7 linked regions of the Oryctolagus cuniculus genome follow. The protein of the gene in region 3 purifies or fractionates together with the protein of the main gene of each other region. This does not show direct contact. Links are inferred from orthologs where the notes say so. Each region holds a gene or a part of one and is shown on either strand. Other genes may lie near its edges. The genes, in order: PHF12, histone H2B type 2-E, MORF4L2, RBBP7, SIN3B, ASH1L and EPC2.

Region 1 (4,161 bases), on a different chromosome or scaffold from region 3:
TAAAGAGGAAAAAATCCCCCCCGCCAACAGGACTAAAAAAAGGCACCATGGAAAACCGGGTAGGAACACACAGCACAGCCCCCTTCTTCCCGCCAAACAGAACACGACCCAGTAGAACCAGACGCAATCTGGGCTGGATGCGCAGATGCGGGATTTTAGTGGAAGGCAGCGAGGTGACTTCTCTCAGGCAGAAGCTCTGATTTTCAAAACTCTTCTTTACCGGATTGTTCTGGGCTGAGCTGCTGAGGAGGATCAAGCAGCGGGCGATCAACCCAGGTCCCTCCTCCCTCACTCTCTTGGGTCTCTCCCCTCCCCTCGCGTTCAGTAAGGGCGGGGGGGGGGGGGAGGAGGAAGCGCACAGCTTTCCAGTTCTCAGCTCCTTAAAAATGCCTTTTTGGCTCCATCGCATACAAGGCTACCCCTGCAGCTAAGAATTTTGCGGCCAAGGGCTCCTCGATCCGGGAAGGAGAAGTGAAATCGCAGCCCAAGGGCAATTTTAATTGTCTAACCCGGCCCGATTTCCTAAGAGGCAGCAGCGGTGGGGAGGGGGGGCTGCGGCGGAGGGGGGAAGTAGCTCCAAGAGGCAACAGGGGGCAAACGGAGGCAGAGAAAGGGGACCAAAGCGGCGAGATCCCAGCCCCGGCCTTCGAGGAGCTTCTGCAGAAAGGACTCCGGAGTTGCCCCCACCGTTCTCCAAGAGACGTTTGCAAATCATATATGCAGCCAAAATGGCGCTGAGAATAAAAATATAATTTAAAGGCAGGTCGCCATATTGTAAACAGAGAGGCAAAGAAGAGGCCGACTCGAGCCACTCTCCGTTTCTTCCACAGCGGCAAACGCCGGGCAGCGGGGCCTGCACCAGAGCAGCGCGGGCGGCCAAGGGCTCCGCGCACCCACCCGGAGGAGAGCCCGGCCGGGCAGGAGCCCCGAGAGCGGCGGGCGCGCGGGCAGGCAAGCGGCTCTGGGCCCGGAGCTCCTCCCCTTCCTCCCCCGCCACCTCTGGCCGTGCCCGGCCGGCTCGGTCCCAGCTCCCCTGCGACTTCCAATCCCAGATGGGGCTCTCCTCATTCCTCCCAACCCCCACCTCGGGGTCCGGGCTCGACGCTGCTCCTCCCCGCCGCTCCCCCCCCCCCCCGCCCCGAAACGGCCAGATCCCGGCAGACACCTGGGGGCGGGGAGGCGCTCGCCCCAGCGGCTGCAGAGAGTCAGCTAGCGGCTGCAGGCGCCCGTTATTTCGGCAGGCAGGGGCAGGCCAGGTGAAGGAATGTGCGGAGAGCGGTCCGCCGAGGGGCTCGAGAGGAGGCCAGCCCTTACCAGCACTGGAGGTGGAAGGCGGCCGGGCAGTGGTCGCAACACAGGAGATCTCCACCTTCCTTGCAGCTATCGCAGCTGTCGTGGTTGGTGGCCCTGCCGCTTCTCCGCGGCTCCTTCTCAGGCTTCCGACTCCGCTTTTCCGCCTCGTCCGTCTTGGGGGGAGCCAGCAGAGCTTGGATTTGCTGCACACACATACAAACGGCGTGTGTGCACACTCGGAGCTCCCGGGCGGCCCGTCGACCCCCCGGCGCGGCTACTCCGTCACCCACCCCTCTCCCCCCTTTTGTCCTTCTTCCTCCCATCCAGGCTGCTCCCAGAACCGCTCAGCCCCCGGAACCAGGGGGAGCCCACCCCAACCGCGTTTCTGCAGCACAACAACGAGCGCAGCTTCTTCCAAATGGGGAGGATCAGGGTAGGGGGATGGGGAGAGGGTGCGCGGTTCCCTTCTCGCCACTTCCTTGTATGGACAGTGGGGGACTCCAAAGCCTGGCTCGGGAGAGGCCCGAAGCCCGGTACCCGGACGTGCGGGAGGAAGCACAAAGGGGCCGACAAGAAGGGGGTGGGGAGGCCCGCCGGTGCAACGCGATGGAGTGGGCTGGCGCCTCTGGAAAGCGAATCGAGGGCGGCGGGTAGGTGAAACTGCTGCAAACGTCCTCGGCGGCTGAGCTCAGCCCCCCGAATCGCCGAGATGGGAGGGAGAGGCTGAGCAGGGAAGAAACCCCCCTCCCCTGGCCCTCTGGCGCTCCGAGCTCAGGCCGGCTTTGTGGGGCGGAGGGCGGAGGTTCCCTCCCGGCGCTGGGGGAAGGGGATGAGGAGGGCCACTCTTACCTCCATCAGCCCCCCCGACGTGTCCAAGTCGTACACGATCGTCTTGGTCTCCATTTTCTCCCACATTCATCCACCTCCCGGGCTGGGCGCTCTCTGCTCCGGCCCCCCCAACCCCGGGGGGAGGGGGGAGGCGGGGGGAGGGGGTGCTCCTGACCCCGGCTCCCCTTCTTTTTTCCCAACACGGGTCCCGACTTCCTCGCCCTGGCTCCCCCCCACCCCCCGGCCCCCAGTCCCTGGGACGGCAGCGTCCTCCCCGCGGGCCGTGAGGGGGGAGCGGCCCCTCAGCCCCGGCCCGGCGGCTGGCTGCACAGTGGGTCCCGGCTCCGGGGGTCAGGCCTCGGCGGGGCCTAGTCCCACAGGCTAAAGCCGGCGCTGGCGACCGCTGGTCCGGCCGGGAAGGCTGGCGGGCGCTGCCATCCCGGGGTTAGGGGGATCGGAGGGGGGGGTGAGAGGTTAGGTGAGGTTGTGGTACGTGAGGTGACTGGGGGGGAGGGTGATGGGGGGTGGTCCCCGGGCTCCGCCTCTCGCCGCCGCCGCCGTCTGCGTCCCGGCTGCCGCGCACTTGGCGCAAACTTACCGCGAGCGCCCGCAAAGCCACCCGCGCAGGCGCCCGGGGATCGCCGCTCGCCGCGCGCAACCGCAGTGACAGCCGGCGGCCGGGCTCCCGCGCAGCCGCGGTGAGGGGGTACCCCCCAGCGCGCAGCCGCGCTGGCATTCGTCTGGAGCCCCGGAGCCCCGCCTTCCTGCCCTGCGCCAGCGTACTGAGATAAAAGGGCGGGACCCGAGGTCTCGCGCAGGCGCCTGAGGAAGCTCCTAGGGGTCACAGCGCAGCCGCAGGAACCCGAGGACTCTTCATCCATTGGTGTTTGTGTGCAGACCGAGAGGGCTCTGTTCCCGCGCAGGCGTGTTGGGGATGCTCCCCTCCCGCCCCATAACACAACCGCCTCCCGCGCAGGCGTATCGTCACCTGCAGGCCCTCAAAGAAAGCTGCTCCTTTCGCCATTTTAGTAATGGGATAAGGGCTGCCGTGTCCTTGTAGTCCTCAAGCATGAACAGGAAGGGGCAAGGAATGTTGGACAGAGCTGGTAGGCTGCTGGTGATGGCAGTATTCATAGAGGTGTTGGACTGGACAGTTGGTTCCAGCGTCAGGTGTGGCTGGACCAGGCCGCCATGTTGATAAAGAGAAAAGAAAAGCCAGTGCGACAGAAAGCGACGCTTTGGCTGGGTGGCTGCCGTCCCCACTTCCCTCCTGCTCCCGACAATTAAATTTAGAACGAGCATCCCTGCCTTGCGTGGTGATGGCACCATGGAGACTTCCGCCTGCCCGTTACCACCCTCTCTCGACCACCGTTCTGAGAACTGCTCAAGAGGCTTAGAGTTTGTAATCCCTGACAACGCCCAGCTACCGGCCCACAGAGGACTCCCACTCCCAGATTGCAATGCGCAGGGGGTCCAAAAGGGCGGACGGGAGCGCATGGCACCCTGGGAGCAAGCATCGCGATGGGTCTGATGGACTGTGGGAGTCGTAGTTCCGTGAGCTTGAAACGCACTATACTGTAGGAAGGAAGGAAAGGAGTAATTCGCTTGTCGGGAAGATGCTTTTGAGAATTTCCGTGCTGCATGCTGGGATTTGTAGTCTTAGGGCCTCACCTCGAATTCTGGGCGGGGATGCATGCTCTCTTCCAGGGCGCTCGCCCTTCCCCTTGCTATTGCCCGCAGAGGTGACCAGTTATTGCTGCCCAACGGTAGATGAAGCAGTGAAGAAGGGAACCGCATCGTTGTGCCTAAAAGTGGGCGTTTAAGTAGCATGATTGACAGCGGTGTCCTGCCCATGTCTAATGTTACGGCACACGCATTCTCAGAGTCATAAAACTGAGAGGGGCCGAGAGACCATCTGATTTCATTCTCGTCTTTCCAGAGGCACAGAGAGGCCGCATAATGAATTTATGGCAGACGTGGGAATGAAACTTTTTTTTCAATTGCTTCTCTCCCCCCTCCCCCTTTCTCTCTCTCTCTCTG
Region 2 (3,990 bases), on a different chromosome or scaffold from region 3:
CAAACCGAAAGGCCGAGTGCCGCTTTCCTATTGGCTGCCGCTCTCGGCCAATAAAACTGCCTCCCTTCACCCCTCCCGGTAGCTCTTATAAATTACATCAAATTGCCTATCCTTTCCATAGCCTCTCCTAGAAAAACAAGCTGAAATCAGGTTTTTAGCCGTCATGTCTGGACGCGGAAAGCAAGGCGGCAAGGCGCGCGCCAAGGCCAAGTCGCGGTCATCGCGCGCCGGGCTGCAGTTCCCCGTGGGCCGGGTGCACCGGCTGCTGCGCAAGGGCAACTACGCCGAGCGCGTCGGCGCCGGCGCCCCGGTGTACCTGGCGGCCGTGCTCGAGTACCTGACGGCCGAGATCCTGGAGCTGGCGGGCAACGCGGCGCGCGACAACAAGAAGACGCGCATCATCCCGCGCCACCTGCAGCTGGCCGTGAGAAATGACGAGGAGCTCAACAAGTTACTCGGGGGTGTCACCATCGCGCAGGGCGGCGTGCTGCCCAACATCCAGGCCGTGCTGCTGCCCAAGAAGACGGAGAGCCACAAGCCTGGCAAGAGCAAGTGATTGATTAGGCGTGACACCACTCCCGTCCACCCAAAAGGCTCTTTTAAGAGCCACCACAGTGTCAAGCGGAGGGCTGATAACAAGCAGCGCGTTAGCTCTTTCTTTGACAACTTGGGTGGCTCTAAAAAGAGCCTTTGGTCTTTGGTTCAGGTCGTCAAATTTATTTGCTTTTGGCTTTGTGGCTTTCGGTTTTCTTTGGCAGCAGCACAGCCTGGATGTTGGGCAGCACGCCGCCCTGCGCGATCGTCACCTTGCCCAGCAGCTTGTTGAGCTCCTCGTCGTTGCGGATGGCCAGCTGCAGGTGGCGCGGGATGATGCGCGTCTTCTTGTTGTCGCGCGCCGCGTTGCCCGCCAGCTCCAGGATCTCGGCCGTCAGGTACTCGAGCACGGCCGCCATGTAGACGGGCGCGCCGGCGCCGACGCGCTCGGCGTAGTTGCCCTTGCGCAGCAGCCGGTGCACCCGGCCCACGGGGAACTGCAGCCCGGCGCGCGACGACCGCGACTTGGCCTTGGCGCGCGCCTTGCCTCCTTGCTTGCCACGACCAGACATAGTTAAGAAAAAGAAACCAAACCCAGCTAGGGCGCAGAACCTCGCAACAAAACAAGATTGAAAGGAACCCACGAAGAAAGCCTTTATAAGCTTCCCTGGGGGTGGGGTCAGGAACGAGCTTTTCATTGGTCCTAATATGGCTTCAGAAACAGCCAATAAAGTCGAGCTGTTGTCATTACGCAGGCTTTTACCGAAAACGCAACTTTCCTGCACGGACCAATGGAAACGAAAGCCATTTTGATTCCTAATTTGCATAAGATGGTTATAAGAGGATCAGGCCCGCCCATCCTCTTATTCCTTTTCCCCGCTGTATCGCGTTGGTGTGGTGTTTACCATGCCCGAGCCAGCCAAGTCCGCGCCCGCGCCCAAGAAGGGCTCCAAGAAAGCTGTCACCAAGGCGCAGAAGAAAGACGGCAAGAAGCGCAAGCGCAGCCGCAAGGAGAGCTACTCCATCTACGTGTACAAGGTGCTCAAGCAAGTGCACCCCGACACCGGCATCTCGTCCAAGGCCATGGGCATCATGAACTCGTTCGTCAACGACATCTTCGAGCGCATCGCCGGCGAGGCGTCGCGCCTGGCGCACTACAACAAGCGCTCGACCATCACGTCCCGGGAGATCCAGACGGCCGTGCGCCTGCTTCTGCCCGGCGAGCTGGCCAAGCACGCCGTGTCCGAGGGCACCAAGGCTGTCACCAAGTACACCAGCTCCAAGTGAGGCCCTGCCGTGCCGCTAACCCACAAAGGCTCTTTTCAGAGCCACCCATCTGATCGGGAAAGAGCCGTGTTCACATAACGTCCCCCCTTAGTCCCTTCGCACAAGTAAGTTACTGCAGCCCAGACGTAGTGGGGGTGGAGTACTTGGCATTCTCTAAGACGTTCCGACCCCGAGGTTCCCGGCGCGTGATTGGACTTGCGTTGAGTGCCAAGTGCGTCTTCACTCCTAACAGCGGCGATGGCCCGCCCCTACCCCTCTGCGTTGCGGCAGTGGCCGGGCGGCTTTGTTACACACGCTGGGCCGTCTTAAACTCGAGTGGCTGATTGCAGCTATTGGTTTAGGAAGACTGCAGGACACAAGTAGGCGCGTCCGGCGGCCGCTGTGTACAGCAGCAGCTTAGCACCGGAAGCGGCGGGGTGGCCAGCTCGGCGCGGGGAGGGCTCGGCCTGCGGGCCTGCGGGCCTGCGGGTGACCGGTGCTGTGCTCTGGGGCGGAGCCCGCGCCGCTGAGGGTCAGACTTTTCCTGATTGGGCGGCATGAATATTCAAAATTCGCGCCACTCGAGAATTCTTAAAGACTTTGTTTTCCGCCTCTGACGTTGTAGCTTGGAGAGTCCTAGGATTCCTTAAGTCCGTAAATGATTTTTGCATTTAATGCTCTGTGCTGGGAAGCCTGCCCCAGGTCACTGCAAGACACGGGTGGTTTAGCTCGGGGATTAAGAACCGCTGCCAGCGGCATCCGCTCAGGAGCCTGCCCTTTGGCCCTGTCTGTTGTGTGTTTTCATCTTCGTCCACGCAGCTGGCTGAAATTCGCTGGCTCATTTGCTTTCTCGTTAATGGTCTTTCTTCAAACCGGGACAAAGGCCCTGCTGGCCTGCTTTTCCTCCGTATCTTCAGCGCCCATCAGTGCCTGGCACGTAGCGGACACAAACGGCTTGAACCGATATCGACGGATTCGTTTTTCTATCCCGCCAATTTCGTAATCGCTTCCGTGGGTGGGGGGTGGGCGCTGTTTATTTCCATCAGATGTGAAGATACGATGAAGATGGAAATGTTTTTGTAGCTCCTTGACCAAATATGTCGTTAATCACCTCGGTGCAACTGCTTTGGGGCGGGTGAGGGGTGGGGGGAGGCCTGGTGCCAAGATTTTTTTTTTTTTTTGCATCGGGAGGAGGCGGCAGTAGCGGGTCTTCCCCGCAGGCTCCCCGCTTTAGGGTGACCCGTTTTAGGTTTCCGTTCAATTGAGAGCAGTGGTCAGCGAGAAGAGCCTTCACCCTCTGTTCACACTGGGAGGAGCTTTCAGTTCATCCCCACCAACCCGGCTGCTTTTTCAGGAGGCCCTAACAAGCAGAGCAGACAGAGCTGCAATATCCCTCACACAGCGAGCGCTGCTTTTGTCTTCTGCGATGTGATCACAGGTGTATTTTGGTCGTATCTGATGCAATTACGCAATACCGAATCTTCCTGTCCGAGCCTTGATGGTGCCAGGGGAGGTCCTGAGTGCTCAGTAACTGGACTCTGCTCAGGGCTCCTGGAGTTGATTGCAAGGGTTTTGTGAACCCAGATGTGCTCCACATAGCAAATCATAGGCTGAGATCTTGAGCCTGCTGCGCGTGTGCTTTCAAATCTGTGTAGATGCTGTTATTAATAAAGTGCCCAACTCATTTTAAGGCTTTGCTATATCCTTTTATCGGCCATATATGAAGTGAAATTGACAGGGACAGTCACCACTGGGTACATGTGTGGAAAGGGTGGAGAAGGAATATTTAGAAGCCGTCAGCTAAACTTTTACCCCAGATGGGCAATGGGGCTGAACCAGGCTGTCACAAGGCTTTCCGCAGTCCTTGCAAAATACGTGAGCATGAAGAAGAAGCACTACAAACAACGTGGAAGACATACAGTCCTTAACCAAGGTGGGCTAACACCGACAGACACTTAACATGTGTTCCCGATTCATGCACAACATTCTCTCATTCTCACAAGAGCCTCCTAAAGTAGGTAGACTTGTCATCTCCCACTGGACAGGGAGGGAAACTGAGCCACAGAGCGGCCTTTCCTCAGAAACTCACCAGAGAAAAAGCTCCTTGTTTAGTGCTAAAAGGATGTAAGAAAGCAGGGCTGCTCTCTGAGAACCTGGACTCCTCCCTGGATTAGGGGGGAAATAGCTGTG
Region 3 (4,275 bases):
AGAGGAGAGCAAGGGCAGTTCCTAAAAGGTACAAAGCTGAGATTCACCCAGCTACTCCCAGGCTCGAGTTGTGGGTGGGACATCAGTGAGCCCAGGCGGGTGCAGCCAGCTTTCAATAAAGCTGGTCTGTGAGACTTGGCTGAGAGGACAGAGGAAGATTGATGTTTGCCCCAGAGTGGGGCTGTCAGCTGTGCTCACCGCCTCGCCATGCTCCCAGCTGTAAACAAAAGTCCTGGCCCTTCATGGCACTGCAGAGCAGCCCAGGCTGGCGTAAGTCTCTGAGGACAGCTTGACCATTTTCTCATCCTGGCTGACAACCAGAAGACAGAAGAAACAATAGAAGGTTGGGGGGGCGGGGTGGGGACCAGGATTGCAAGGGGGTGAGAAGCAGTGACCAGTGGGAAGGAATAGTCAATTTCAGATCTCAGGTCTTCGCATGCAAGTTGTAGGAATCTTTTACACAAAGTACATCCCTTTCCTATTAGCTTCACGGATAATAGTGAATATCTAAAGGAGGTCTGCAGAGACTCTAGTGCCTCATTCATTCATTCATTCATTCAATGACTGTGTCACACAGTCCCTCATTGTGCTAGATACCCTGGATGATGCTAAAGTAATAGAAAAGAGTTTGCAAATCCAAGTAGCTTACATGTGAATCTGTGTGAAGTTAAGTAACTACCCTGAATAGTAGATCTTTAATGCTTAGCAATACGTATGGAATAGAAATTTATAAGCAGGAACAGTAAGTCGTATTGGGGTGTCATCAGTGGACCTGGCACTGGGGAGGGCTGTAGAAACATAGGCACTGTTTGGCTAGGAAGAAAAGGTACCAGGCATTCCAGACCAGGACGAGGTCCTTAGTGAAAATGAGACCTGCTTTGGTTAAAGGAGAAGGTTAGTGTCCGGGCCTCTCTTCACTCCTCACTCCCTCACTTCCCTCACCATGGCGAACCCAGCCTGCAAGTCTCACTTGGAATGTTACTTCCTTACGGAGCCCTTCCCTGATGCCCAGCCTCTAGTTAAGTGCTTTTGCTTTCTGTTCCCTCAGCACCTGTGACACGCCTCCTTGCAAGACACCACTGTTTTCACCTGCTGACCTACTGTGGTTTCCCTACAATCTGTTCTCCACACTGCGGTCAGATTTTTTTTTTCAGATGAGAATCTTTTATACCACTTCCCTCTTCAAAGCTCTGTTACACTTCGCACTTTCCTTCTCCTTTGTCTCCTTGGTCCTTCCTGCTGCTTTGCTTCTTCCTTTTCTTTCAGGTCACATCTGAAATGTGTCTGCCTCAGGGAAGCCTTTCTAGACATTCCCTCCCCAACTTGGGCCACGAGTAGGTCAGTGTCCCTCTTACGTATTTCCACAACACCCCCCCACCCCGTTTTCTCCATCTCACTATCATCCAGGAACTTAGTCCAAGTCTGTCTTCCCTGCTAGAATACAAGATCTATGAGGCTAAGTGCTAAGTTTCTTCTTAACTGTGTATACTGTGTGTTTAGCACAGTTCCTATTGTGGTAGCTACTCCACCATAATTTGTGAATGAATCCAAGGGAGATGACGCACCTGCAGGTGAAAGCTGGTCTCAAGGACTGGTCCTCCACCTATATGCGAAGGGAAAACATTAAAAGTTTTCAATTTTGAGAGGAAGAACTCATGAGAGAACACTGACTTCTGAAAACACAAAGCAAAATGAATAATCAAGCAAAACCCAGATAGTTCTAACCTTAGCTTTCCCCAAACCCTAGCCTTCTCATTATCTTGTGGACTCATGTACTCTCCCTTCCTGATTCTTCCCCTCCCCAACCCCTCCTCTAAAAACAGAAGAAATTTGCTTATTGGTTCTTCAAACCAGAATTTTGACATTATGGCCAAATGTGCTTATGTCCACATGTAAAATTGTTCATTTGGTTGGAAGATGTCATAGAGGCAGTGTGCACCCACCCGTACCCCACAGAAAGACAAAGGGAGGAAATGGAGACAATTTTGTAGCTGCAGTCCTCACTGGATATTTCTTGCTTGAGGAATACCATCCGGATGGAATCAGTGACATCTTAAAGCTATAGCAATTTGTTTTTACCTTTCCTCTCTCTCTTTAATCATTTACCCTAAACATGAATCCACCACTAAGATATTAGAGAGGTTACATAAGTAGCAGAAAGAAGATAATGGATTCATTTCCATAATCTGTTGTTCTTGTCTCTTGAGGGCCCTGGATGAAGAGGGTTATATACCTGGAATTTGAAATCTTAATGAAATAGGATAGGAAAGGTTGAACTCCAAAATCAGTGTAGTACATTTCATTAGAATAGTGGATTATAATTATAAGATATAATTAATTATAAATATAGAAAAAATGATAATTAATGAGAAACCGCATTTTCTTCTTTCTGAAAGAACCAACCTGCAGCTTAGGTCAATGAAATGATGATACCAGCTAGGGCTAAAGGAAGTATAAGTCTAAGGAATTCACAAAGAAACTCTAGTGGAGGAAACCCTAAATTTATAGGATGTGGAGCTTGGCATGACCATTTTATTTTTGTAATATGATCCTGCTGCCAAGATTTGGCTATCCCCTTCCTATGGGGACTATGATAATTGAACCTGGGTATCAGTCAAAAGACAGACAAGGAAGAGGTTCAGGACTGAATAGTCATTATAGGAACAGTTTCCTCTGATGAAGATTACCTTTAGCCTTGAGTCTCAGTTCAGGAAGTCGAAGAAGTGAGCCTCTGGAGCTAATAAGTGATAATACTCTAGTCTCTCTAGTCTTGCCCTTTCTATTCTATTTTTCCTTTCACAGCTACAAATGAGTTAATGGAAAAAGGAGGTTACAAGTAGGGTCTGGGCTTTGCCCATTCGGACCCTCAATACCCCATGTTGTCTGATGAAGCGACAAGACTGAAATGATCTGGGAAGGCCCTCCCAGCTCTGTTATGCCAGGTTCTGGAATTCTGGGACATTGTGACCTGCTGACCCACTTACCTTATGGGAAATCCCATGATTCATTAGGTTTCTAAAAGGACCACCTTTTTTTTTTTTTTTTTTTTGACAAGCAGAGTGGAGAGAGAGAGAGACAGAGAGAAAGGTCTTCCTTTGCTGTTGGTTGACCCTCCAGTGGCTGCCACGGCCAGCGTGCTGCGGCTGGCGCAGCACACTGATCCGAAGGCAGGAGCCAGGTGCTTCTCCTGGTCTCCCATGGGGTGCAGGGCCCAAGCACTTGGGCCATCCTCCACTGCGCTCCCGGGCAATAGCAGAGAGCTGACCTGGAAGAGGGGCAACCGGGACAGAATCCAGCGCCCCGACCGGGACTAGAACCTGGTGTGCCGGTGCCGCTAGGCGGAGAATTAGCCTGTTGAGCCACGGCACCAGCCAAAGGGCCACCTCTTTATTTCTATATAGAAGAATTAGTGTTGAAAGTTAAATGCAGTCAAGATACCAAATGTGTTGCTGTGACCAGTGGTCCCAAGCATTCTTGTCCTTTGATGGTCAGGACTGTCTTTAGCATTAAACTGAGAACTGATAAGCCTAGAGGCCTCAGCCAGGCATTGATAGTAAGTGTAAGGAGAGGTAGGGTGACAAGTATTTCGTGTTTCTGTAGGTTGATAATTTGAAGAGGGTCTTAGACCTAGACATGATATCCAATTATTATATTCCTTTGTCATGGCTGTCCTTCAGTTTAGTCTGTTCTCAAACAGCAAGGTCCTCTTAGAATACTAGCCGAATAATACACTTGTAACATCCCTTGACTGGTTAAATGGCTTACCTGTGACAGTTACAGATGGTATAGAGTTTTGTTGTTGTTGTTGTTGTTGTTAAAGATTTATTTATTTATTTGAAAGGCAGAAGGGCTTACAGACAGAGAGGGAGAGGCAGAGAGAGATCTTGCATCTGCTGGTTCACTCCCTAGATGGCTGCCACTGTCAGTGCTGAGCCAGGCTGAAGCCAGGAGCCAGGAGCTTCCTTCAGGCCTCCCACATGGGTACAGGGGCCCAAAGTCTTGGGACATCCTCTGTTGCCCTCCTGTGTGCATTAGCAGGGAGCTGGATTGGAAGTGGAGCAGCCAGGACTTGAACCAGTACTCATATGAGATGCCAGCACTGTAGATGGTGGCTTTACCTGCTGCACCATAATGCCAGCCCTGATGGTAGTTTCATTTCTCAAATTTTTTTAAAGCAGCAATAAGCTCTTCCCTTGCTCCCCCTCCCTACCCCAAATAAAATATTATGGTGATGTGAATATATAAGGTGAAAGTGGAGTTACTCTTACTGAAATG
Region 4 (4,235 bases), about 87 Mb from region 3:
TTTTATTGGAACATGGCCAGGTTCGTCCATATTCTCTGGCTGCTATTGTGTTACAACACAGCGGAGTCTTGTAGTTACCCTCAGGGCCTAAAATATTTGTTATCTGTCCCTTTTAGAAAAAGTTCACCAGTGTTCTGGAAGATGAGGGCTGAATGTTGAAACACCATTCCAAACCTCTTCTCTCTCTAGCCAGTCCGCACTAACAAGATTCCTGGACCTGACATGGAGGGAGGGCGTTATGATAACGAATTGTATCGTATGGGAAACCAGAGACACGAAACAGTAAATTTCTATATAAGGGCATATGACTGGCTCTGCCACAGAACGTCTGGGTTTGTTACCAGATCAGAGAAGTAGGTACCATAGCCGCGACTGCACACTTGCATTTGAGCATGAAAACACTTGGAAAGCTATCAAGGCAGCAAATGTTCCGGGGGTGCTTCTTTGTAAGGGGAGCCTCGCTGTAGGCTGGCTGTGGACTGCGGTTCTCTGGGCACGTAGGCACCCTGTGGCCTCCCCCTCAACTCCGTGCCCTCCGCTCCAGGCCCTCAAGTTCATTGTCTTCGTTCACCTTTTGGCCTCACAGCCCCCATTCTCCTCACCTTCACTCACTCCTCAGGGACCACGGAGTTCCCAGACAGAGCAGGTAAACAGCCCAGCCCAGCTCATTCCAGCTTCCCTAGCTTGGGGTGGGGTCGCCCTGGGACCCCTGCAGGGAACAAGAATGACTCAGCAGGGGTCAGAGCTGGGACTAACAAAAACGCCAATGGAAAAACAAAATCCCCCATAGCACAGAGGCAGCAAACCAACTTAAAGACCTAGACCCGCGAACAAACGCAAATGTGATTTAAGGCGGCCTAGCGGCCTAAACCACCACAGGCCTCACGTTTAACCTAACAGTGGCCCGGCGGCTTCTGCAGGCAGAAAACGCCCGCAGCCTCTCCAAAAGATCCCCTTCACTTCCGAGACACCCTGCCTCGACCTGAATGGTCCCCAAGAAAGGCAGTCAGCTGGATGGGAACCTTTCTGGGGTGCAGAAAATTCCATGTCCGTGATTACTGGGGAGACTTTGAGGGCACAGTAATCTCTCGAGAATAGGAACCATTTTCCTCCCTTGCTCTGAGATTTTGCTTGGCTAAGCGGCGGTAGTCTCCCTGCCCCCCACTCCACCCCAACAGTCGCTGCTGCTTCAAGCAACCACGCCCCGTGGGCCTCAGGGTTCGCCGCCCCGGGGCTCTAGGCCCCCGCGCAGCCCGCACGCCGCGCCTGCATTCGCCCCGCCCCCGCGCTACCCCACCGCCCCCGCGGCCGTCCCTAGGAGCGCCAGGAGAGTCCGCGCGCCTGCGCCGCTCCCACTTCCTGCCGTGGGACGCCCCGCCCATCGCCAGAAGCCCGCCTCCGAACGCCGCGTGAAACACGCCCGTCGTACGTCATTGGTCGAGACAGCGGCGCCGTTGGCTCCCAGGCCCGCCTCTCCACCGCCTCTCACTTTTCCCAGGGCGGTTGCGCCTGCGCTCAGCTGCCTGGGCGGGCTGTGAGGCGCGGGTTGAAAAGTCTCGTTCCAAGTTTGGAGAGAGAGAGAAGAGCGCCTCAGACCTCGGTATCCGTGAGCGAGGAGAGGCAGAAGAGAAAGGCGCAGCGTCTGGGGAAGAACCCAGGCAGCGAGACGGAGCTCAGGCTTTGAAAGCTAAGATTGTGTGACGCGCCAGCGGAAAGGCAGGAGCGCCAGCGGTCGGGCTGCGTTTGTCTAGCGAGGGGAGTCCGAGGAGGCTTCGAGGGGCGAACGACCCGACGCAAGATGGCGAGTAAAGAGAGTAAGAGGCCCTGCGGGGCGGCGCGCGCCGTGGCGGCGGGGGGCGGCGGGCGCGCGAGGCCGCGGCACGCGCCGGCGAAAGGCGCGAATTGGCGTGAGGAGCAGGGGGCGGGGCCGGGCGCGCGCCTTCGGGGGCCTGAGCGGGATGGGACCGCCGCGCGGAGGGCTAGGAATACTTCCGGAGCCGGGCGCGGGGCCGAGGAGTGGGCCCCCTCCCCCCTTCTTCCCGCTCCCCCCCTCCCCGCTCGCGGCTGCGCTCCCTCCGGCGCCCTCGGCCCCGGGGCGGAGGCGGTCTCCGCTGTTCTGAAGCGAGCACGGCGGCTTCTGCGCGCGCACGTCCGCCGCCTCGGGGTCGCGGCCCTTGTCCGGGAGAGGGGGGTTGTGGAGTCCGCCGGCCTATGGCTGCTATCGCCGGCGTCGTGGGAGCTGGGGCCTCTCGTGGCGGGGGATGGAGGGAGCAGGCCGATGGGTTTCTGCTACACGTGGATTTGTCTCCTTGGGTGGGTCGTGGAGCCCCTCTACATACAGGTCGTCATTGTGGAACAGGTGCGAATAGCTGTAACGGGCTAAACAATTCGTGTCCGTGTAGTTAGCCAATTCTGTATACGCAGAAGACAATCTCAAAATGGAAAAAAAAAGGAGCTTCCCGGTGGTAATATTCTCACCACGTTTTGGAAGAGCAGTTAGTTGTTCGTGTCCAAATTAGAGGCAGAAGGAAAGAGTAGACTAGGTGTGGCAATCACGAGGTGACCTCCATGTCTGTGTACAGATTGTTGACTTCGATCCCTCTCAACCACTTAATCGTATGGACTTTCTCCAAATTTCAGTGTTTGAAGATACTGTGGAGGAGCGTGTCATCAACGAAGAGTATAAAATCTGGAAGAAGAATACACCGTTTTTATATGACCTGGTTATGACCCATGCTCTTCAGTGGCCCAGTCTTACGGTTCAGTGGCTTCCTGAAGTGACTAAGTAAGGATTTCTGGTTACTTTTATTTTTGAGTAAATTTATCATTCTGAATTTTCTAGTTTTGGAGTATTTTATGCCTCCAGTTGTACTTAATGTTTGTGGGAAAATGAAATTAAAAGATGTTTATTTTGGTGCAGAAAATCTTGAAATCCACACATAGTTTTTCTATGAATTTTTTTAAGACCCTCCATTGAACATAAGCAGGTAATCAGCCCCTGGAAAAGGTGGAAGGTAGTTTTTATTTTCAAAGCCTAAGTGACATAGTGGATGATTTCTGGCAAGTAAGTGTGATGGTATAAAGGAGGGACGATGTTGTGGGATTAATGACATTTGTAGAAAATACTGGATGTGAATATGTTTTACACTGTTTGGACTTAAATGTAGATTGCAATCTTTCTGGGCTGCAGACTAACACATTTCTTTAAAATTATTGACAAGTAGTATACATTAGAGATGTACAGATAGTTAAGCATTTGGTTTGAATCTTCACATAGTGGATGCACATGTAATCAGCACCCATGATGAGTAAGTTTTAATTGGCAAATGGAAAAAGAATTTTGCAACAGTTCTCCACAGAAAAGGTGTTGTGTTGTTTGGGGGCAGGAGTTACGGCGCAGCAGGTTACACTGCTGCTTGGGATGCCTCTGTTCTATGGCAGAGGGCCTACTTTGAGCCTAGGCTACTCTGTTTCAGAGCTAGCATTCCTGCTAATGCAGCTGGGAAGGCTGCAAGATGGTGGCGCAAGTATTTGAGTCCTTATCACCCATGTGGGAGACTGAGATGGAGTTCTTAGATCCTGGGTCTCACCTGGCCCAGCTCTGGGGGTTGTGGGCATTTGGGGAGTGAACCAGTGGATTAAAGATATGTCTCTCTTTTTTTGTTATCATTCTTGATTTGCCAATGAGGAAATGTCCTGAGAAGTTAAGTACCATGGCCAAGATAATAACAGCTTTGCATTTTCATAGTAGGAATTTGACCACATACTTTAAAAGTGTGTTGCATGTGGGTATTGTGAGAAAGATAGTTACAGAGAGGCAGAGAGAGAGGTCGTCTATCCGTTGGTTCACTCCCCAAATGGCTACAATGACTGGGGCTGGGCCAGGCCAAAGCCAGGAGCTTCTGCCAGGTCTCCAACGTGGGTGCAGGGGCCCAAGCTCCTGGGCCATCTTCCACTGCTTTTCCAGGCCATAGCAGAAAGTTGGATCGGAAGTGGAGCAGCTGGGACTTGAACTGGTGCCCATATGGGATGCCGGCACTGCTGACAGCGGCTTTACCTGCTGTGCCACAGTGCTGACCCCCAATGAGCTTATACTTGAGGATTAAATCAAACTCTAATCCAGGAAGAGGATTTTGTGATTTATAAGCATAAGCTAATTTATATGAAATTACTCTTAGGCCAGATTCTCCATAATACTAACATTGACTTCCCTACAAATGGTAGTTTCTTGTTGG
Region 5 (3,500 bases), on a different chromosome or scaffold from region 3:
TGGATCATTTCCAAAACCAACCAGGCCAGACCACACCAGCCGCAGCCAGACTGGACCACACCAAACCCGACAGCAGATACAACTAGACCAGCAAAGCACCCCAGTGGAAACGCTCGCCCAGAGGAGACGGGAGGGGGCAGGGAGCAGGACCCAGCACCGGCCCCTGCGGTGGCCACGCCCCGAACGCCCAGCTGGGAGTGTTTACGATGCTTTCCCCACTGTGATCTCCACGGACATGGCCGGGGCGCTGGGCCTGCGAGGCGGGGGCAGGGAGGCTGGGAGTGTCTTCCTCGGGACATCGGGCAGGCGCAAGCCACGCGGGGTTTGATGCACGCGGGCACCCATCAACTGCTGCTGCTACCATTATTACCGATCTCCAGGGCACAGACCGGGCCTCTCTCTGCCACCAGTTCAGGCTGACCGGGACCCGGGCTCTCCATCCGGGTCTCCTATGTGGAGAGCAGGGATCACCTGCTGCTGCCTGGGAGCCAGAGTTGGGACTCAAACCCGGGCACCCCCGTGGGCCGTTCATCTCCGGGAGGCCCGCGCTGCCTGTGCTCCTGGCCCGGGGCAGGCAGAGTCCCGGACTCTCCTGCTGTCACTCAGGACCCCAGCACTGGGGCGCACTGGCAGGGAGCCGGATGGGAAGCGGAGCAGCCGGGACTCGAACCGGTGCCTTTTTTTTTTTTTTTTTTTTTTTAGTATTAGGCAGGTATTTGTCACAGTGGATCAGGCGCCACATGGGACGTCCACAGTCCATGCCAGTCCCCGGGTTCAAGGCCCAGTTCCCGACTCCAGGCTCCTGCTTATGCACGTTCCGGAAGGCAGCGGTGTGGGGTCAAGGACTCGGGCCCCCGCCACCCACAGGGCAGACCTGGATGGAGCTGCAGCCTGGCCCGGCTCTGGCTGTCGCAGGCATTGGGGGAGCGACCCAGCGGACGGAAGACCTGCCTTTCCCTCTGCCTTGCAAGTAAACCTTATGAAAAGGGAGGAAACACGCCTCCTAGAATGCTCCTGCGGCCGTGTCGGGTTTTCCCCAGCTTCACAGTGAACAGCGGACTTGACAACCAGCAGAATGAAACCACAGGGGGCAGGAACTGGGCAGCGCCCGCGTCCGGGCGGGGCCTGCCTCCCGCAGCTGGCGCTCCCGTGAGCACAGCCCTCCCCAGCCAGCTTCCCGAAACCAGCGCGGACCACCGCCGCGCACATCCCCACCGCGGGTGGGGGCCACGCACGCAGGAACAGCGCAGGCCCCCACCCCACCCTGCCCGGCCACTGGGCCCGCTCGCCGCGGTGCATCCGCACAAAGAACCATCACTCCGCCCGGAGACCAAGTGAGGCACCCGCAGCCGCGACCACCACGCGGCTGAAACTCGAACGCCTGACGCACAGTGCCCCAGGGCCCGCGACTGCGCGGACAGCACACGTCCAGAGCAGGCAACACCAGGGACAGGAAGCCCGGGGCGCGGGGGGGCGGGGGGGAGTGGGGGGGCGGCTGCTGAGGGCGCGGGGTCTCCATGTCCGGGGGCGGGGGTGGGTGGGTGATGAGAACGTTCTGCAACCAGACGGGGGTGCTAGTTACACACTGCGCCAATGCAGGGTGAGCGCCCCCGCCCACGATGCTCCAGGCCGGAAGTGCGTGTGCGAGTGCACACTGAGGAGCTGTGGGCGCGGGCCCCGAATATAAACAGGAGACTCACCTTCTATCCATACCGCCTGCACCCGGGGCACTGTGCACCAAGCAGCCCCCCCAGCCCCGCAGCCCCCCAGTGCTCACAAAGTCCCGGATGCCCGGCCTGAACGCTGGGGACCTCCCGACTCTGCACGCTGCCGCCTCGGGGTGAGGCTTCGCGGCCAGCAGGGGGCGCTCACCTGCCGGGCGATGTTCTGCACCAGCTTGTCCATGGTGAAGCCGATGTAGGCGTGGATGGTGAACATCTCGCGCAGGGTGTCCTCGTACTGCGTGGGGTCGATGCTGCCCTCCAGCAGGCTGCGCACCATGTCCAGGAAGGCCGGGTAGTACTCCTCCAGCTCCACCTCACCTGCGGGCCGGGAACCCCGCATGCAGGCGGCCGCCACCTGCCTGGCCCCGGGCGACCCCGGTCCTCCAAGGGCCAGAGCGCGCCGCGGGGGCTGCCTGGGGGGTGCAGGGGCCCAGGCCCTCGGGCCACCCTCCTGCGCTTCCCCAGGCGCACCGGCAGGAGCTCCCGGCCGGCTGCTCCGCCCGCCCCGCCCGCGGCCCCCGGCTCACTGGGCTGCTTGAGCCGCAGCTCCATGGCGGGGTCGCTGCCCCTCTCGCGGCGGCCGTCGCACAGCAGCTTCTCCCGCTCCTTCTCGCGCCGGAACTCCAGCAGCTGCTTCTGCGCCTGGCGGTAGATGCGCAGCAGGCGCGCGCACAGCGTCTGGTGCAGCCGCAGGAAGAAGTACCAGTTGTTGTTGGCGAAGAGCAGGCTGTACACGTCGTCCAGCAGCGGCGCCACCGCCGCCGCCGCCGCCGCCCTCTCCTCCGCCGGCCCCGGCCCCGACCCCGACCCTGGCTTCCTGCGCTCGGCCGCATCCCCGGCCGCGCCCTGCCCAGCGCCCGGCGCCCCGTCGCGCTCCTCGTCGGCGGACTCCTCGTCGGCGCCCAGCTCGAGCTGCTGTGAGAAGAAGAGGCTGGGCAAGAAGTGGTGCAGCAGCTGGCGGATGGTGCCCTGGTCCTCCTTCTGGATGGCCGGCTGCCGCTGCACGTAGTAGCTGATGAGCGCCGCCGCGTCCTCCAGGATCTGCCGGTCCTCGTACACGAAGACCAGGTGCGGCTCGCTGGGCGGCGCGCTGCGGCCCTCAGAGTGCTGCTCCTGGTGCTGTGGCGACAGGGCACGGCCCGCGTGAGGCGCCTCCCCCGCCCCCAGCCCAGCTCAGCTGCACCGGAAGCCGCACCTCCTCCCTGCTCCCACCCCGCCCCCCCCCCCGCCCACTCTCGGGGTCCAGGTGGACTTGGCCACCAGGTGGCTTCCCCGCCGAGCACCCCCCAGACCTGGCCCAGGTCTCTGCGCACCCCGTGCGCCCTCTTGCCAGGTGCGGTGCCCAGGGCCTTTGCACGTGCCACCTGCCCTTGCTCCCTGGAAAGCCACACCCCGGGCGCGCTCCTCCCTGAATCCTCCCGACCCAGACGGCGCTACTTGCTGCTCCAGCCCCGCCCCCCTCCTGGCACCTGGAGGCTCTCCTGGGGGGCCCCAGCCCCCAGGTACCGGGCAGAGAGACACATAGGGCAGGGCCGGGTCTCCCTCTAGCTCTCGGCGGCCCGGCCAGCCTGGGCTTGCCGAGAGGAGCAGCCCCGGGCCCCCCTTTCACAGGGGCTGTTCCCGCTTCTGGGGCCCTGAGACCCTGGGGCCCAGCTCAGCCTCCTGACTGGGGCCCCGGGCACCTGCGACTGACCTGGGCAGGGAGCAACCTCCGTGCCTCAGTTCCCCCACCGCTAAAACCACAGAGGAAGGTTCCCGGGTGCGGGCAGAGGGGAC
Region 6 (3,500 bases), on a different chromosome or scaffold from region 3:
GGTGGCTTCATCTTGACTGGTGATCTCATTTGCCTCTTAGGCCTGCCTCTCTTTTTTGGAAAAGGAGACACAGACAAACTTTGTTTGAAGGAAGGAATTTCAATTTCTGGCTGTAAAATTGGGGGTTCTTGTTCTTCTTTAGACTGCAGAGAAAATACTTTAGAGGCAGGGATTTTTAAAGTCCTTTTAGGTGGACCTTCTAGTTGAGGCATCTCTTTTGATTTAGGTCTTCCTCTTTTGGGCTTGTAAATATCCGACAAAAGGTCACTAGAGACACACATACTAGAGGATAGTTTATGAGTAGCAAAAGACTTATGAGACGGTTTTTCACCATCAGTTAAGAGAGCAAGAGATGGAGATGTGGATTTGCTCAACTTTGGCAATCGGCGTTTAAGGAAGTCATGATCTACAAACGAAGTTGATCCAATGTTTTTCATAAACTTGGCTGACTCGGAACTACTATTTGATAGTGAGCCACAGGAAACATTTTTAAAAAGCTCTGACCTTTCTAATTCTAGCCCTTTTGGAGACCGGCATGTGCTTCTTGCTACCACTTTAGTCCACCGAGGCTTTCTTCCTTTTCTTTTTTTTAATGGTTTGGACTGCAAACTAGTGCTTAGACTTTCAGCAACTTGGCAGTGTTTGTCTGGTGCACTTACCGCACCAAGTTTTAGAAAAGGTTTGTTACTAAATAAACTAGTGAAGTTAACAACTGAGGGAGTAATTGTATGAATACTGGATTCAGAAGTGAAATTTGGCTTTTTTCCCAGGGAAGAGCTTATTCTTGGAATATCTATATGGGTAGTTTTTGAATCATTTAGTTCTTTATCAATCCCTTTACACTCAATACTTATGCTATGACCCATGGACCTATGACCAACATTCAAATGGGTACTTTCAGAATTAAACTGATTCTTTCCAACAGACTCAGAAATTTCTTCCATTAGTTCTGTGGTAGGACTAAGAAGTAACGGATTAGGAGCCAACGGTGAAGAAGTTTCAGGTGGACTTCTAGTTAAAGGATTAACAGATACAGTAGGTGATGGGGAAGGGAGATTGCTTTCTCCTACTGCACTAAAAGGGGATTTAGCTGTAGATGCATCAGAACCACCTCCCATCTGAAAGTCTGGAGAAGTGCAATATACAGGAGGTTGCTTTTCATGCTTTGAGGTTTCATAAGATCCCCTTTCACTGGATGAGAAACTGTCTTGCTGAATGCATGATCCTTCATTAAATATTTCTTTCTCCAAATTAATGATTTCTTTTCGAGCTGAGAACTTTTCTAGTGCACTTTCTTTGTTCTGCCGAATGACATTCTTCTCAAAAGTTCTGCTGGTGGCACTGTCTTTCAGGGATTCAGAAAGTTCTTCACTTTCGTGGTTACTGATGTTTGCACTACAAGAAGCCTTAAGTGGATCCTGAGTAGGGAGCAGTGCTTCCGCTTTAAGGTTTATGGCATCTTTACTGACCAGTCCTGCCACAGGACAGGTCACTAGTTTCTTTCCAATGTCTTTATTAACCAATCCCATTGCTGAACTTGCTACAATCTTCTTTGCACAGTCCTTGGCCACTAGGCCAACAGTAGAACTCAATTTCCTTCCCAAGTCTTTATTAACCAGTCCAACCACAGTGCCAAGTCCTAACTTCTTGCCAGACTCCTTATTCATTAAACCCGGAACAATACCAATTCCTAGCTTCTTTCCTGAATCCTTGCTCAGCAGTCCAACTGTAGTGATAGTCCCTGGCTTTTTGCCCAAGTCTTTATTAATGAATACGGCTGTAGTGCCAGTTCCCAGTTTTTTCACAGAGTCTTTATTGACCAGTCCTACTGCTGGGTTAAACATTGGCTTTTTCCCAGCATCTTTAGTTACCAATCCAACTGCTGTGCTAATAGTTGGTTTTTTTATTAAATCCTTATGTATTATTCCAGCCACAGAGCCAATGCCTGCTTTCCTGATCAAATCCTTGCTAACCAATCCTGCTGTAGTGCCTGTTCCTAACTTCTTCGGTTTTGTCTTGGAAGACTTGGAGGGAGGACAAGTAGCAATGAGCTGTGCCAACTTTTCTGTTACGCTAGTTCCTCCATTAAGTAATGCTCTGTCCTTTAAATCAGGATCCCGACTACCAACAAGAGTAGATGGTGATGCATTAACAAAATCTGCCATTTCTGAGTGTACTGGAGAAAGCTTCTTGGACAAAGGAGTGCTTTCTCCCTGTGAATGAAGATGGATGCTTTCTTCAGATTGGCATTCAATGGCTGCAACATCACCTGCTTTCTTGTACAACTTGGAAGGGTCCTAAAATTTGAACAAGAAAAAGGTTTCAGAGAGTAAACCTGATACCACTTTGCTTTAGCTTTACATTCCAACAAACTCAACACATCAGATATAAGATTTACAACAGAACTTTAAAAAGAACTAATGTGACTCTAATGGCCTGGGATATTAGTTCATCTGCTGCTATCACAGAGGCTATCAAGATACTGTCTTTGTTGATTTTCAACCATATTTATTACTGGATCTTTAGAAATGCCCCAAGGTTGGCACTGTGGCTCACTTGGCTAATCCTCCGCCTGCGGCACTGGCACCCCAAGTTCTAGTCCCAGTCGGGGCGCCGGATTCTGTCCCGGTTGCTCCTCTTCCAGTCCAGCTCTCTGCTGTGGTCCGGGAAGGCAGTGGAGGATGGCCCAAGTGCTTGGGCCCTGCACCCACATGGGAGACCAGGAGGAAGCACCTGGTTCCTGGCTTTGGATTGGAGCAGCACGCCGGCCATAGTGGCCATTTGGGGGGTGAACCAACAGAAAAAAGGAAGACCTTTCTCTCTGTCTCTCTCTCTCTCACTGTCCACTCTGCCTGGCGAAAAAAAAAAAAAAAAGCCCCTAAGATATATTTAAATGTGAAGTTATAGTTTATCACTTTCATCTTTCTTTTCACTAACTAAAACAAATATTTTTGGCTATAGTAACCCATGATCCCCTTTTAAAATAAATAGCTTAATGCCTATCTGCCTCACTGACTTCAATAAAATCTAACCAAATATGGGACAATCTCTGACCTACTTCTATTTCTTTAACTCACTATATAGTCTTAAGTGAGTAGTCAAATTCCCTTAAAGAACTTGAAAGAGCAGTCATTTCTTAAAATGTATGAGGATAGAAAAGATAATTGAAAAGTTTTTTAAAAAGATTTATTTATTTATTTTGAAAGCCAGAATTAGATAGACAAGAGAGAGGGATCTTCCATCTACTGGTTCACTCCCCAGATGGCTGCAACAGCCAGGGCTGGTCTAGGCTGAAGCCAAGAGTCTGGAACACTATATGTCTCCCCCATGGGTAGCAGATCATTTGAACCACCTTCCACTGCTTTTCCCAGGCACATTAGCAGATAGCTGGATCAGCAGTGGAGCAGCTGGCACATCAAAGGCACTGCTTTACCTGCTAAGCCATAGCACCGAATCCAACAATTTAAAATTAATACTGGAGTTGGTGTTGTGACAGAGTA
Region 7 (3,942 bases), on a different chromosome or scaffold from region 3:
AGAATAGGACCGAGAAAAGTCCTCAGTATCAACTCAGGTTCTATCCAAATCTGGATTTCTTCTTCCTTAAAACTGAGCAGTTAAAGCAGACTTCTAAAAAGAATACAAGCACTAATGCTCTGGATTGAAAACCAAGTTTTATTGAAAAAAGTTAATGACCAAACTGTGACAGGGCTTGTTAAGTGCTTATTTTTAAAAGAACATTTTAAAAATCTGCAAGTTTTCTCCTAAATTAAAATAATAAAACATATGTGACAAGCTTAAGACCAAGTAGGAGCTGACTGCAAAAAGTAATGTACCTTCCAGGGATTAACTGTTCATTCTAGAACAGGTTTTCTGACTCAGGTTCTAAAATAATAGGATCCAAGTAATTTTGTACCCTAGTAGTTCTTTTTTTTTTTTTTTAAGATTTATTTATTTGAAAGGTAGAGTTACAGAGAGGCAGAAGCAAAGAGGGGAGAGAGGGAGAGGGGGAGGCAGAGAAGAGGGGGAGGGGGAGAGAGGGAGGGAGACAGAGAGACAGAGGCAGCTCTTCCATCTGCTGGTTCACTTCCCTGACAGCCACAACAGGAGACTCAGACCCGAAACGAGGAACCAGAAGCTTCTTCCGGGCTCCCACACGGGTGCAGGGCATCCTCCACTGCTTTCCCAGGCCATAGCAGAGAGCTGGCTTTACCCGCTACACCACAGCGCTGGCCCCACTACTGGTTCTTTTAAGCCTGAAAACCAACAAAAACTTCCAAATTTTGTTTCTGTTTTTTAAAGACTTATTTATTTATTTGAAAGAGTTACACAGAGAGAGGAGAGGCAGAGAGAGAGAGAGAGAGAGAGAGAGAGAGAGAGAGGAGGAGAGAATAGAGAGGAGAGAGAGGTCTTCCATCCACTGGTTCACTCCCCCACTGGCCGCAACTGCCGCAGCAGCGCGGATCAGAAGAAGCCAGAAGCCAGGAGCTTCTTCCGGGTCTCCTGTGTGGGTGCAGGGGCCCAAGCACTTGGGCCATCCTCCACTGCTTTCCCAGGCCACAGCAGAGAGCTAGATGGGAAGAGGAGCAGCCGGGACTAGAACCGGCGCCCATATGGGATGCTGGCGCTTTAGGCCAGGGCGTTAACCCGTTGTGCCACAGCGCCGGCCCCAGTTTTTTTAAAGTTCATCAATTAATTCTAATACGTATTATCCTCTTATTTCAATTATCTTTCCCATGAAAAACTGAGCTTAGTTAGGACCAAATTTTATTTTAAAAAAACAAAATTCTCTCATTCAGCTCTAAACCTTAGGCTTAAATTTTGGGCTTTTATCCTATTTACTTTTTAATTTTAAAAACTGATCGTGCATCCTGATGTCACAGCTATATTCATTTTCTGCTGAAAATGTAAGACTTCCAGGTGATCAAACACCAAGGAGAAATGTGATTAAAATCACAGAGGAAAGTAGTAATAGCAGGGTAACGTAATGAGGTCAGAACTCAAGCAGCCAATCAAAGGCATAAAAGCATTTCCTGCAATCTTAACAGTCAAAAGAGAAAACCAATCACGGAAACCTAGAGCTTTCTTTTGACAGTCACAGAGGCAAGAGAACCAATCCACACAGACCCGAGGTTGACAATAAGGCGGGACCGTGGGTTCATTGAAGAAATTCTTGAAGGTGCAGTTACTATGAACTTCGCATGCAAGGAACACCACTCCAGAGTCATAAACACTGTCAACCCAGAGCAAAATTCAACCTTATGCAAAATTTAACCCAGAGGTGGGGGAAACAGCTTTTATGCTACAAGGCATATAATCAAAAACACAGCTGTCAACTTATATGCAGTAAATCCTCTACTTCCAAAAGGACCACCCTCCTCCAACCAAGGCCATGTCGCGGGGTCACAGCGCCGGGACAGCGCCGCGCCGGCGGCTCGTTTCGAGCATCCCCGGTTCCTCTCGAACGCGGCGCAGTGAGCGGAGGCCGCACCGGCGACGCCGGCAGAGCCCGCCCGCCCCGCGCCCCGCGCCCCGCACCCCGCGTCCGGCTCCAGCTGGCTAACCCGGCGTCCCGCTCGGGAGTCGAGGCCTCGGCCCTTTCCCCTCCGCAGGGCCGCACTCGCTGCAGCAGCCCTGGTAGGGGCAGCGACATTCCCTTCCTAGGAGGGGGAAGATGTTTGTTTTGAAAGCGCTTTACTTTCCGTAAGTCATTTCAAACAGCACTCAATGCTAAACCAAACTTAAAACTAGAAGGAACTATACACAGACACGCACACGCATAATCTGTACCAGCCAAAGACACCCTCGCTATTAACTAACCCCGTGCCAGCGGACACTTTTTTTTTTTTTTTTTTTTGAAAGGTAAACAGAGGCCGTACGCCAAGTGCGCCCAGCGCAGCCCCTGCGCCATTCCCGGCCGCCGCTTACGGCAAGGCCCCCTTACGGCAGCGTAAGCGGCGCTGCGAGCTAATCACAACACTGGGACGCAACAACATGGCGGCCGCGGGCGGGCGCTGCGCCGGCCGAGAGGGTTTACGCTACTCCGCCAGCGTAGGGTCCCATGCGTTGGAGCGACAGCGGCGCCCTCCAGCGAGCGTAAAGCGCTCTGTGAATGGCGAGGCCCGACTGACAAAGGGGAGGGGGGAGGAGGGAGAGGGGGGGTAATAAACACTCGAGTCCCTACCGATTCCTCCTCCTTCTCCATCCCGGTGGGCATCTGGGGCACGGCCCGGTTGATGGAGACGCAGTCGTTGAGATCAGGCATGTCCTTGCCGCGGTAGATAGGCAGCGGTTTGGCGGCGTCCAGCGCCCGCGCTCGGAAGGAGAGTTTACTCATTGTCTCCCCGCCTTACAGGAACAGCCCGGGCGGCGGCGGCGGGGCGGGCGGGGAGGGGGGGAGGACTCCCGCCGCCTCCTCCACCTCCTTCCTCAGTGCAGCGCGGCCGGCCCGCTCCTCCTCCTCCTCCTCACTGCCCCCGGCCACAGCATGGGCGCCCACCCCGCCCGAAAACAGCCCCCCGCCGCCCGCGGCCGCTTCCACACACTAGATCCGCCGCTCGCCCGCCCGATCCGCTCCCTGCGCCATGGCCAACATGGCGGACATTACCACAGCGGCGGCGAGCGATCCCGGCAGCCCGCGCGAGAGCGCGCCCCCGCCGCGGGGACGCGCCTCGCCCTCTCCCTCCCTCCCTCCCTCCTTCCTCTCCCTTCCCCTCCCTCGCCTGCCCACCCACTCTCTCCGCCGCGCCGCCGGCCCACGGGAACGTGCTCGGCCTCGGGCCGCTCCAGGGAGAGGGGGCGGCAAGCGGCGGCGGCGGCAGCGCCTTCGGCTCACTGGCCGGCGCTCCCGCGGTGTGGCAGGTGCCAGGTGCGCGAGTTCACCCGCGCCCCAAAGCGTGTGCCTCTGCCTTCCGCGGCGGCGTCAGCGGGCTCGCTGAGTGCCCCTGAGGAAGGCGCCGGGCAAAAGGCGGCCGCGCCCAGCAGCGCCCGTGTGCAGAACTCTGTGAGCGGGAATAGATGTCGACCAGGGCCCCAGCAGCCACCGCCGGAGCCTATGCTTAGCGCTCCGGGCATCTCTGGGAGGTGCGAAAGGTCGGCGGTCCCCTCGGCCCGCTCTGAGGGGCGCAGCTCTGCACCGTCTCGCCGGCTCTGAGGGTGCTTAGGCGCCCCAGCCCCTGTTCTCCGCATCCGCCCTCCAGTACCTGTCCGGAAGAGCTCTCCAAGGTATGGCATCCTCTCTCGTCCTCGCCTGCTCGGGCAGGATGCTCATGGCAGCCGTGAGGGCGCTGGATGGAGGCTTGCCGAATGCAACAAGTGAACTTGAACCTGTCCCTCAAACTTGAGTTATTTAGTGGATGATAGATATTTCTCCGATTTCAAAAATAGCAGGGGTCGTCAAAGTTCAACTTAGGACGTTTGACCAAGGCAGCACACGTTTCCGAAGCGGCAGATGTGTGTGTGTGTTCCGCTGTGTTGCGA

Evidence for each region.
Region 1: the proteins of MORF4L2 (region 3) and PHF12 purify together in Homo sapiens (affinity purification with mass spectrometry; 9 studies listed by BioGRID and IntAct, counting the BioPlex papers as one, with this or other methods). This does not show direct contact. The link is inferred for Oryctolagus cuniculus from reciprocal best matches to the Homo sapiens genes MORF4L2 and PHF12.
Region 2: the proteins of MORF4L2 (region 3) and histone H2B type 2-E purify together in Homo sapiens (affinity purification with mass spectrometry, with the first as the bait; 3 studies listed by BioGRID). This does not show direct contact. The link is inferred for Oryctolagus cuniculus from reciprocal best matches to the Homo sapiens genes MORF4L2 and H2BC21.
Region 4: the proteins of MORF4L2 (region 3) and RBBP7 purify together in Homo sapiens (affinity purification with mass spectrometry, with the first as the bait; 3 studies listed by BioGRID). This does not show direct contact. The link is inferred for Oryctolagus cuniculus from reciprocal best matches to the Homo sapiens genes MORF4L2 and RBBP7.
Region 5: the proteins of MORF4L2 (region 3) and SIN3B purify together in Homo sapiens (affinity purification with mass spectrometry; 5 studies listed by BioGRID and IntAct, with this or other methods). This does not show direct contact. The link is inferred for Oryctolagus cuniculus from reciprocal best matches to the Homo sapiens genes MORF4L2 and SIN3B.
Region 6: the proteins of MORF4L2 (region 3) and ASH1L purify together in Homo sapiens (affinity purification with mass spectrometry; 5 studies listed by BioGRID and IntAct, counting the BioPlex papers as one, with this or other methods). This does not show direct contact. The link is inferred for Oryctolagus cuniculus from reciprocal best matches to the Homo sapiens genes MORF4L2 and ASH1L.
Region 7: the proteins of MORF4L2 (region 3) and EPC2 purify together in Homo sapiens (affinity purification with mass spectrometry; 5 studies listed by BioGRID and IntAct, counting the BioPlex papers as one, with this or other methods). This does not show direct contact. The link is inferred for Oryctolagus cuniculus from reciprocal best matches to the Homo sapiens genes MORF4L2 and EPC2.

Annotation. Positions count from the first base shown.
Region 1 is NC_091448.1:44,437,125-44,441,285, forward strand, and holds the start of PHF12 (PHD finger protein 12), read right to left. Parts: upstream 2,801-4,161; 5' UTR 2,209-2,800; coding exon 2,143-2,208; intron 1,497-2,142; coding exon 1,315-1,496; intron 1-1,314.
Region 2 is NC_091438.1:48,064,846-48,068,835, forward strand, and holds histone H2B type 2-E, read left to right. Parts: upstream 1-1,386; 5' UTR 1,387-1,440; coding exon 1,441-1,821; 3' UTR 1,822-3,490; downstream 3,491-3,990. Other genes in the region: histone H2A type 2-B, read left to right, coding at 164-556; histone H2A type 2-C, read right to left, coding at 717-1,106. UniProt on the Homo sapiens protein: Core component of nucleosome. Nucleosomes wrap and compact DNA into chromatin, limiting DNA accessibility to the cellular machineries which require DNA as a template.
Region 3 is NC_091453.1:89,766,188-89,770,462, reverse strand, and holds the start of MORF4L2 (mortality factor 4-like protein 2), read right to left. Parts: upstream 2,801-4,275; 5' UTR 2,688-2,800; intron 1,604-2,687; 5' UTR 1,566-1,603; intron 1-1,565. UniProt on the Homo sapiens protein: Component of the NuA4 histone acetyltransferase complex which is involved in transcriptional activation of select genes principally by acetylation of nucleosomal histone H4 and H2A.
Region 4 is NC_091453.1:3,028,796-3,033,030, reverse strand, and holds the start of RBBP7 (histone-binding protein RBBP7), read left to right. Parts: upstream 1-1,435; 5' UTR 1,436-1,798; coding exon 1,799-1,814; intron 1,815-2,640; coding exon 2,641-2,785; intron 2,786-4,235. UniProt on the Homo sapiens protein: Core histone-binding subunit that may target chromatin remodeling factors, histone acetyltransferases and histone deacetylases to their histone substrates in a manner that is regulated by nucleosomal DNA.
Region 5 is NC_091447.1:65,116,988-65,120,487, reverse strand, and holds part of SIN3B (paired amphipathic helix protein Sin3b), read right to left. Parts: intron 2,844-3,500; coding exon 2,252-2,843; intron 2,043-2,251; coding exon 1,873-2,042; intron 1,556-1,872; coding exon of another isoform or gene 1,043-1,555; exon of another isoform or gene 279-1,042; intron 1-278.
Region 6 is NC_091438.1:43,090,552-43,094,051, reverse strand, and holds part of ASH1L (histone-lysine N-methyltransferase ASH1L), read right to left. Parts: intron 2,298-3,500; coding exon 1-2,297. UniProt on the Homo sapiens protein: Histone methyltransferase specifically trimethylating 'Lys-36' of histone H3 forming H3K36me3. Also monomethylates 'Lys-9' of histone H3 (H3K9me1) in vitro. The physiological significance of the H3K9me1 activity is unclear.
Region 7 is NC_091434.1:93,573,965-93,577,906, forward strand, and holds the start of EPC2 (enhancer of polycomb homolog 2), read right to left. Parts: upstream 2,801-3,942; coding exon 2,648-2,800; intron 1-2,647. UniProt on the Homo sapiens protein: May play a role in transcription or DNA repair.